Linked DNA regions of Arabidopsis thaliana. The protein of the gene in region 1 interacts with the protein of each later gene in a pairwise test. Each region holds a gene or a part of one and is shown on either strand. Other genes may lie near its edges. The genes, in order: AT4G32295 and AT4G14720.

What was found.
Region 2: the proteins of AT4G32295 (region 1) and AT4G14720 interact in a two-hybrid assay, tested with the Arabidopsis thaliana proteins (2 studies listed by BioGRID).

What each region holds. Positions count from the first base shown.
Region 1 is NC_003075.7:15,591,118-15,595,162, reverse strand, and holds AT4G32295 (histone acetyltransferase), read right to left. Parts: upstream 2,276-4,045; 5' UTR 2,204-2,275; coding exon 2,103-2,203; exon of another isoform or gene 1,996-2,102; coding exon 1,881-1,995; exon of another isoform or gene 1,663-1,880; coding exon 1,548-1,662; intron 1,469-1,547; coding exon 1,083-1,468; 3' UTR 608-1,082; downstream 1-607.
Region 2 is NC_003075.7:8,431,466-8,437,053, forward strand, and holds AT4G14720 (TIFY domain/Divergent CCT motif family protein), read right to left. Parts: upstream 3,641-5,588; 5' UTR 3,470-3,640; coding exon 3,352-3,469; intron 3,170-3,351; coding exon 3,030-3,169; intron 2,895-3,029; coding exon 2,716-2,894; intron 2,231-2,715; coding exon 2,140-2,230; intron 2,052-2,139; coding exon 1,955-2,051; intron 1,646-1,954; coding exon 1,586-1,645; intron 1,390-1,585; coding exon 1,326-1,389; intron 1,253-1,325; coding exon 1,018-1,252; 3' UTR 995-1,017; coding exon of another isoform or gene 987-994; 3' UTR 508-986; downstream 1-507. Other genes in the region: ARD1 (acireductone dioxygenase 1), read right to left, coding at 1-67, 385-402. UniProt on the Arabidopsis thaliana protein: Regulates the arrest of dispersed meristematic cells during lamina development.

The DNA.
Region 1 (4,045 bases):
TACATATATGTATAATAATGGACCAGGTTGGGTAATGAGAAAGAAAAGCTTTACTCATAATCCAATGAGAAATTACTTTTGTGAAAAAATTATTAAACTACAAAAAAAGTTGGCCCTTTTTAAAATCTTACTTTGCCAATTTTCAACAATGGACTGCTTGGAAAAATGCTGGTAAGTGTGTTTCGTTCCCACAGGTTGATAAGATTCGTATTAGGTGAAAACTGAGAATTGACGAGGTCTTCCAGGTTGTCAAGGAATTAGTTTAATTATGCTTTTGAAATTGAAATAGGTCCAATGGTTTATAACACACAATAAAATATCTTCTCTTCCTTTTTAACTACTAATATCTGCAAGAGCATTTGTATATCTACACAAAAGATTTGGTTGTTAAGATAGTTTTTGCATCTAAGATTTGTCCTCTTTGATTCAAATTCGAGTCTAATGTCGAACAGCTGGATCGTATGAAATCATATAATAATCAAGAATTATATAGTTAATTAATGTACTTAGAATCTCATGTTGATTATGATGATTAACGTCCAAGTTCACTCGGTTTTTCTGTAGAACAGACGATTTCAAAAATCTTCCACAAAGTTGTTACAAGTGTGTCTTATCTTCATAAAAATGCAAACGAAACTTTAAGTTCGATCCGTTTTACCGAATGTTCTTCAGCCTACTTGCAACTAAATGGGCCTAAATTGAGTTGGCTCAAAAAAGCCCATTTCATAAGGAGCCTGCTAGAGTCATCATCGGTCGCCGAAGAATCAGATGGAGTCTAACTAAAGTCTTTCGATGGAAAATCCAATGTAGGGCATTTAATATGCTTGTTGTGAAAACAGAGATGTGGAATGGATATTTCTCGAACAGTGTTGCAATGTAAAAATACATTCGTGAAGTCTGATGATTCGAGATTGATGCAGGTAGAAGAAAACGACTTCATCTCCTGTTTTGTTACTTCGTCTCTCTATTTACATGTTCACAAACCTAAACCTAGGGTCTAGAGAGGAGACTAAAAGGCCTAACTAAGCACACATTCTTCTAACACAAGACTTGCTAATCAAAACCCAATCTTGCTCTCCTTTTCAGTTGTTATTGTTGCTGCTTATCTTACTTCGTTTTTGAGTAGGAGGTCCAAGAGGACCTAAGCGCAGAGATAGATCACATTCACACCCACCAAAGGTAATGCCATTTGTTGCGTCAATGAGACTCGCCGGTCTACTGTTCTTGGACTTACACGAGTCACTGATTGGCCGGAATGAATAGCATAAAGGGTAGGCAGAGTACTTGGAGACAGGGCAATTCTCTTGTGCTACTGCAAGATTCTTTGGAGCAAAGTTGTTTGGTTTCATGAATACTTGGGACAACATGTTGTCCAAGTTAGTTGAGTCTTGGCTAAGATAACATCTCGGGTTAATGTTCCGTTGGCTCCTTGAAGCTCTCCTTGGTGTGCACCCCAAATGCAATGCAGCTACATAATAAACAAGACTTGCTCATTGATCTGAGCCAATAATCCCCGAAAGCTCGAATATACAGATTGTATTGTATACCTTCAATACAAGGCTGAAGAAATTCCCCTGTTTCGGTGGTCTCATCAAGTCGTATGATTGTGTTGATGGCGTCGTTTGTACGGTCTAAAAGGGTCTTCATGTCCATATACTCAGCCTAACATCAAACCCACAAGAAGTATATAAAATATTCATATTCCAAATGAACACATTAGCTACAAATCCACTCTATCAACTCCATAAAATCCAAGGTTTAGTACAGATTACCAGAGACTATCAGTCACACTGTTCAAAGAGGGCAATAAAAAGCAAAAAATGAAAATCGAAATACTATTTAGAAACAATCCTTTGTAATTAAAATGTTGGAAGAAAAACCTCAGAATTGGCTTTGGAATACATGATTTCTTCAGCTCTCAAGACAACAACAGGGAGCTTCTCTTGCCATTCTGTGTTTTTCCTGGTGGATTGGCTGTGAATCTCACAAACAATCCTACAAATAGTTCAAAGAACAATTGAGCTAAAGAAAGACATGCACACACACAAACCTATAGATACACAGATAGATATCCAAAGTGAGAGAGAGATGATGATGATGACCTGAAAATCTCTTGGATGAGCAAACCCCTCATGGGTTGGTGTCTGTCACTATGCCAAGCTCTTCTGATACAGTCGTACGGTCTTGGCCCTGGCCTCGGCATCTTCCACCACTTCCTTTTCTATGAGAGAGAGAGAGAGAGAGAAAAAAAGACAAAGTGAGATTGTTGTTCTTCACTAGTTTTCACTTCTCAATAATTTATTTGAGTGTGGTGGGGGAGAGAGGTAGTCCTGTCCAACTGGTCCGGTCCGGTCCGGTCCGGTTTAGTCTGCCTAAACTTATCATGGTCCGGCCTACTCTATGTAGAGTTGCAGTCCAATAATTTACTAAAATATAACTAAAAACTCTACCATTCACCAAATTATTTAGGAGTTTTAGGCAACTGTTGGAGTGATTTTGAACTGTCAAATTTAAATAAGACACGTGGATAACTTGCGTCAAATCACCCAGTCCAGTGAGGTCTCAATTGATTGCATGTCTTGTGAGGAAAAAAGAAGAACGACTTAAAAAGCATAATAAGTATGATTTTTCTCTACAAATCACAAAAGAAGATCGTATGATTGAAAGTAATAATAAAGGAAACAAAATGAAATCTTGTGAATTGCTTTCGTACCGCGTCTAATCTTTTGCCATAATTTTTCGCTGACACTGAAACATTCAAGATGACGTCAATCTCTTTATTATTAAAAGGGAAATACAAATTAAAATTTTGTTTAATTTCGCCTTAATTTTGATTTTAATTTTGGATTTTGTTCTTTGCTATTCAAAATCATTATGGTAATTTGGTCTTAACAATCTACTTAACTTTATATGATCCGATTCAATCTAAACCGTTCAATAAAATTAATTCCGTTCAACAAAAATAAGTAAAATAATTTTATTTTTTTTATCTTCACTTTAAAGACATATAATTATAAATAACATAATTCATATAGTCTTTACTTTTACTAAAATTACATACACATAACTAATTAATACATATTTTAATACATTCCTTTTATTACTAAATAACAAAAAAAAAAAAAATCCCAATTATTATTTAGTTATATTTAATTAAAAAGTTTTATATTTATAAGTTTAAAATATCAAATTCATTCAAAAATTTAGTATAAGAATCAAATAAACCGATTGTCCGCGAACTCCTAGTAAATAAATAAAAAATCAGTGAATTGACAAACTAAAATAAAATCTCGTTGCTGACAAATAAAGTAAAGGTCTAAAACATTACCGAAGACCCATCGTCCTAAAACTTTTCAAGTCTGAACTCAAAAACTCAAAATGAAAACCACCTTAAGGTTTCTCGTCGTTAGTGAAAGGCCCAAAAACTCAGATTTTTAAAGGCCCAAATCTATTGCATGTCGACCACGTGGACCACCGTACAGAGAAACTCGTATCCAACAAAGCTGTTGCCTTCGAGACGGAAACGTTTCCTAAAACGGATCGATTACGAAAATTCACGCAGCCACGTGATGTCATTAGAAAGCTTACCATCCAACGGTTTCCATCAATCCACTTGTAAGACTAAGAACCCTCCACGTAAATCGAATATTTTTATGACTCCTTCCTTTAATGTTAGCTTTGAACACACTAATCAAACGAATAAATTCTTTATACATACACAATCACATTATGTGTGGCCTATGATTTAGTCAGATTTATGACAAACTGATAAAGTACAAGAAATGATAACCAAATAGAATTCAATTCATATATACTCTTTTCGGATAAACAGTACAGTGATCAAAATTATTAGAATTAGTGGCCAAATAAAACTAAGAACGTTATGTATATTAAATGACAACTCGAGAGAAGACGAATACTTTTCTATATAAAGATGTAAAATTCCAAATATGAAATGCCATTGAATTATATATTTCTATAATTAGTGTACTCGAATTAAATATATAATTTCTTAACGTAATAATAAGATACAACAAGTTGCACC
Region 2 (5,588 bases), 7.2 Mb from region 1:
GAGGAAGTCTCTGATCCTCTTCACTATCATCCATATACCAAGCTTGAATCACTTCTTCTCTCCCATCCTAAGCAAAAGCACATCAAGATGGGATTAGATTCCTTGGGAGGCAATGTTCAGATATTTTATATTTAATCTGATTTTAGCTTCAAAACTTCAGACAATTCGAGAAATCGTCAATTGCATAACTAAATTGAATACGAATAGGCATTAAACTGACTGCGAGATTTGAGCAAAAGAAGTAGTTATGATGATTCGAAAATCGTCGAAAATGAATCAAATCACTCAGATAACAATCGACGATTCATGCTTGCATCGCAAAACTAGGAATTATCGATTGGCATTAACAGATCAGAAGCAGAGGAGACAAAGATAAAAACATACCTTGACCGCTTCACCCATCGTGTTCCTCGTGATGTCTTAGTCCTTCTTCGTCTTCAAAACCACCCGATTACTCGATTCTTCTTTTTAAAACAGGGAAAAGATCAAATAAATAAAAATCTTTGGTTAAAAAGACTAAACTACCCTTATTTCTCAACTTTATAGAAGAATGTTGCAAATCTCAGACATATCACATACATCATGCCATGAAAATAGACAAATTAATTATCTCATACATATCAATCACAAAGAAGTTGTGTTACTTGGACCTCAAAGATTGGTATCATCAATAAGGTCTCTCTCATTATAAGACAAGCATTTACATAATACAAACCGCCACATCCTCTCTCTCTCTCTCGCGTCTCTCTAACCTACTCAAAACTACAGACCAAAAAAGATGGACGCAACCCGTAAAAAAAACAAAACCATACAAGACCCGCACTGATCCAGCTCAAATCTTTAACCCATGTTTCTTCCACAATGAACGAGAACATTCATTGTTTGCTTTCTTTCTTTTTGTACATGGCTAACATGTTATAAGAACATGAAATTGTTCTTCCCGCCTTTTGACCCGTAGTACCATCTCCAGTTCTTTTGGCACCTTGTTAATTATCTATAAAAAAGCGAATGAGAGTTTTAAGGGAGATCATTGGAACCATTTGACAAATGCTTGTTCATACCTTCGCTGTTTAGATCACTGTTTAGATCAACTGAGATATTGGGACTTTTTGTTTGATTTTCAGGTGACTCGCAATGCCCTGTGCCACTAAGGTTTTGTGAATATGCAGCGTTCATCCGTGGCTGACGATTCAGAAACATCTCCAAGCTAGAGGACGCAACTCCTGGAGCCTTCTTGGTCTTAGAAAATCTTCTGCTCAGAAAGAAAGGTATCAGTATTCATCGATTTGGAATAAGCAAGCACACAGCATAATAGCAACAACTACCTGTCTTTCCGCTTTTCAAGATATCTTTGCAACGATACTTTTCTGTTCGCCTGACCCTCAACATCTTCAGAAAAGACCAACAAAAAGAACAATAGTTAAATTAACAGAATTTCATGGTCGTATATCATGCAGAACAAGCAAGTAGTTTAGCGTAGCATGTAGAGGTGAAGAGGTGGACCAAATTTCGCTCTCAGGTGTTTTAAAGCATCATTGAATAATAGGATTTCATATCTTTAAGGTAAAATGAGTACTGTTTGTACCAGAATCACGAGAAGCAGGTGCCTTTTCAAGTCCATATTGGGGAAGCTCCACCATCTTCTCTGAAAAAATCAAATCACAATTTCAAAAAAAGGGGCACGAGGCATCTGTAGACACATAAGCTAGTAGAGGTAGCAGCAATTACAGCATTTAGACATGCTTCTTTGGTAATTTAACAATGCCTCCTTTCAAAATTGGACAAAATGAAAGGCCGTGTTTGACATAAGAAAGAAAGAAAGACTCATCTTGAGATGCAGCAGCTCTAGTCATTTTTTCAAGTTAGATTATACATTAAAAAAAAAACTCATTTCAAGTCTGAATCATCAATCTTTCAACTGAAAAGCAGATCAGACACTTTAGCAAATGCTTACCTTTACTCATGGGTTTCGAAATCATTCTACTAGAAGCAAAAATACCATTTTCAGGCAAATCAATTGGATTGGCTGCAAAATGCATGATAGACCGGGCCTGCAAATCAATACACAAGATGAATGATCAAAACCATACCATCAAAATTTATATTTTCAGGCTGGACAGAATTATGTGATTCATTTACCTTTTCAGGTGGTACTCCATCATATACATTCACTTTGCCACTATAAAATATCGTCATTTGCCCAACCACCGCATTTGTTTCAGCTGGGCTTCTGATGCAACATTACAAAAAAGCGTGTTTAAACAACTTAATTAAATAACATTGGAGTAGTAATTTGTTTATAAAACAACATGCACCTAATATCAATAAGACTTTGTACATGAACTACCCCTAAAACTCTTGTTAGTAATTGCAGAATTCACAAATCATATAGACTAATGGACTAAGTAACTGATTTATCGTTCACTAGCAATAATCACATCACATCATACCAATCCTCAAAACAGAAGAGTAAAGAGTAACACAGAACCAAGAAGATCTATCTGACTCTTTTAACCTAAATTCTGTGTGACCAATCCACCATCAAAACCATGATTCATATAGAAACTTTTCAATGTCTAAGACACTGATATCAAACCAAGTACTTATTCTAAGATCACAAACAGAATGTCACAATGCATCAGTTCTCTTCTTGAGGCATGAAAGCAGAAGAAAGATACCACACAAAGTCAAAACGCTATAGAAGAAAATGTAAACCTGGGGGAAACAGAAACAGTCTTGTGGCTATCTTTATCCGCAACAAACTGACCAGAACTACCAGAAAACTCAGCTGATCTTGGAGAATCCCTTCTATGGCACGCACCATCATCTTCCTGTAAAGGAATCCTTCCACAAGCTTCGAGCTCGTTCCTTGGCTCAATCAACGTTGTTGTAACCTGTGAACAAAACAGCAGTACACACAGAACAACAATTTTCCCTAAATCAGCACCAACCAAGTAAACGATTCTCTACTACTTCAGAACTTAGATTTTTCTCTGTAAATCGAAACAAAATCGAAGAACAACACTCACGCGAGGCGGATTTGGCGGCTGAGAAACAAGGATCTTGCGGAGGATTCCGGCGCCGGAATCATCTCCAGGTTCATAGAGAGCTTTAAGAGATAAAACTTGCTGGATCGCCTGAGATTTATTCCACGAAGGCCTGCGCATTCCTGTTTCGACACGTGTCAGCCGCCATTCTCCAGAGAGCGAAAAAAAAAGCTCGGAGAGAAGAAGAATAGAGAATTTCAAAAAATTGACTATGTACGATTCTTCTCAGCAAAATCCGTGAGGAAGATCCTACCGTCGAAGACAATAAGACCGGAAAAAAATGGAGAAAGGAAGAAGAAGAAACCTTTCTCTTTGAGGAATTTGCGGCAATCTTCGCGAGTAAGCTGAGAAATGTCTTCTTCAGTGAGAAGCTTCAGAGGCTTCTCAAGTATAGACTTCGCCGTAGTAACTCCTACATCCATATCCCTTGTCAGATTCCGGCCAAAACGGCCTCACCGGAGTCCCGACGAGAGAGCAGTGGCGTTTTCGTAATAATTGGAGGGTTTTGAGGGCAAAATTAGAAGAGCGAGAGAGAGAGAGAGAGAGAAAGAAAGAGAAAGAGTGAAGTCGCTAATAGTCTATGGGCTTCAATTTTAGGGGAATGGTTTTTGGAGCAGCGAAGCTCCCTAGACTGCCACGTAAGCATCCTATTAGTCTCTCTAGATTATAGCCTAATCATGCATTGCTTAAGTATCCCAATTATTTTTTATTTTTTGGGTAAATCTTATGCTGATTATTTTTTTCGCGTCAAACAGTGAAATAAAATAGTAAATGGTAACAGTTTTATATTAAATTTAAATATAATAATAGCATGAGTGATAAAGAAAAATGACACGAAAGAAAACAGAGATTATTTTGTAATCAGAGAGTATCTTGTTTGTTTATTACTGAGTGGATGTCAATTTATCTAAAATCGCATACGATCAATTTGCATGTGATATTTTGATTAAACAACTAATTATTTCTATAAATGGATAAGAGTTATTCCAAAAATAGAACAAAATATCTTTTGTGTTTTGTTTGTATACTACTTTAGTCTAGATGGACAATCATCAATTCTTGGTTAGTGTTTTTTTCCTGGTTTTACAATTCTTGGTTAGTATCTCTAAAAAATGGAAGATCATGTCACTTATACGATTATTACTTGTTAGTTAGCAGAACCTCCAGCATTGCAACACTTCAACATGTCACGCAATTTTTGCAAAAAGATAATCATTCCAAACATTTTTGCAAACAGACAATTTTCAGTTTAAAACAACCAATCAAACCCTAAATGTAATCATGTTAAATGAGTTTTTTTTTTCTTAAAAAAACATCTCATAAACATGTTAACAAAAAATTTGTTAAGCTAATTTACTAGTTGATACTTTTAAAATGGATTTAGCATTTGTTTGGCAACAACATGTGTGCTATGAATTGGATAGCAAATTAGCAATACAACAAAAACACTAGCACAAACCATTTACTTTTTTGTTAAAGGATCTAGCACAAACCATTATACTAAAAAATCTCTTCGATATCCATATTCAGTAGATCATTTAGATGCATGTAAATGAAAATGGCTCAACACATAAAAACGAAGACTAGTCATTTTCTGAAGTGAATACCAAAACAATTGAAAAATACAAGAGATAGAGTAATAAATTGACAAGACGAAGGAGGAGAAATATATTTTCACATGAGTCTGACCAATATCGATTCTCCCTTAAACCTTGCTTGGTCTTGCGTGACATCCCTTCTCATTATCCAATATATAAAGTGATAATTGATAACAATGCATGATACATGTAATTATACTCGTGATGTACGATAAGGATTCATCACTCAATTCATCCAATGTCGTAATTGTCAAGATATACATGCATGAATAAACGAACAGTTGAAAACTTCTTTTTAAAATATAGTTTCGTCATCCATACATACGGTGATGTCCCGAAAAATGATTAGATAAGCAAACCATATTAATGCAACTTTTTCTTTTTAGATTACTATGAAATTTGGAATACTGATCCATAATTTTTTTGAACAAGAGAATGGAACGTGTAAACATTTTATTTTTTTTAACATCGAAAGTCGAACTTTGTGACTTTGAAGTTAATTCACTCTCGTTTGAAGGTTTTTATAACTTACCAACAATTGATATTGAAATATATAATATTAATCAATGGTCTTCAAAAATCAAAACTATCTACCTTATACTGTATATGCATATACCATTTTTTTTTTCTTTATTGTTATTGTTAACCAGAAATTTCTAATTTTTGGCTCATAGTTTTATGTCCATGGACTAGCATTTGATAATATATACTTATTGCGATTCCACAAACGTAAATCATCTCTCTCCATATATAGCACTTAAGACTCGACCTCATATTTGGTAGTACTGTTACAATACCCTCTAGCAAGTTGACAGCAATTTTCAATTTGCCAATAACTTGTAAATCGTAAAAACTTAACATAAAAATTGGGATATAGAATTGACTATTGAGAGTAGTGGAAGATATGAGATAAAGAAGAGGGAAACAAAAAAAAAACAGAGTG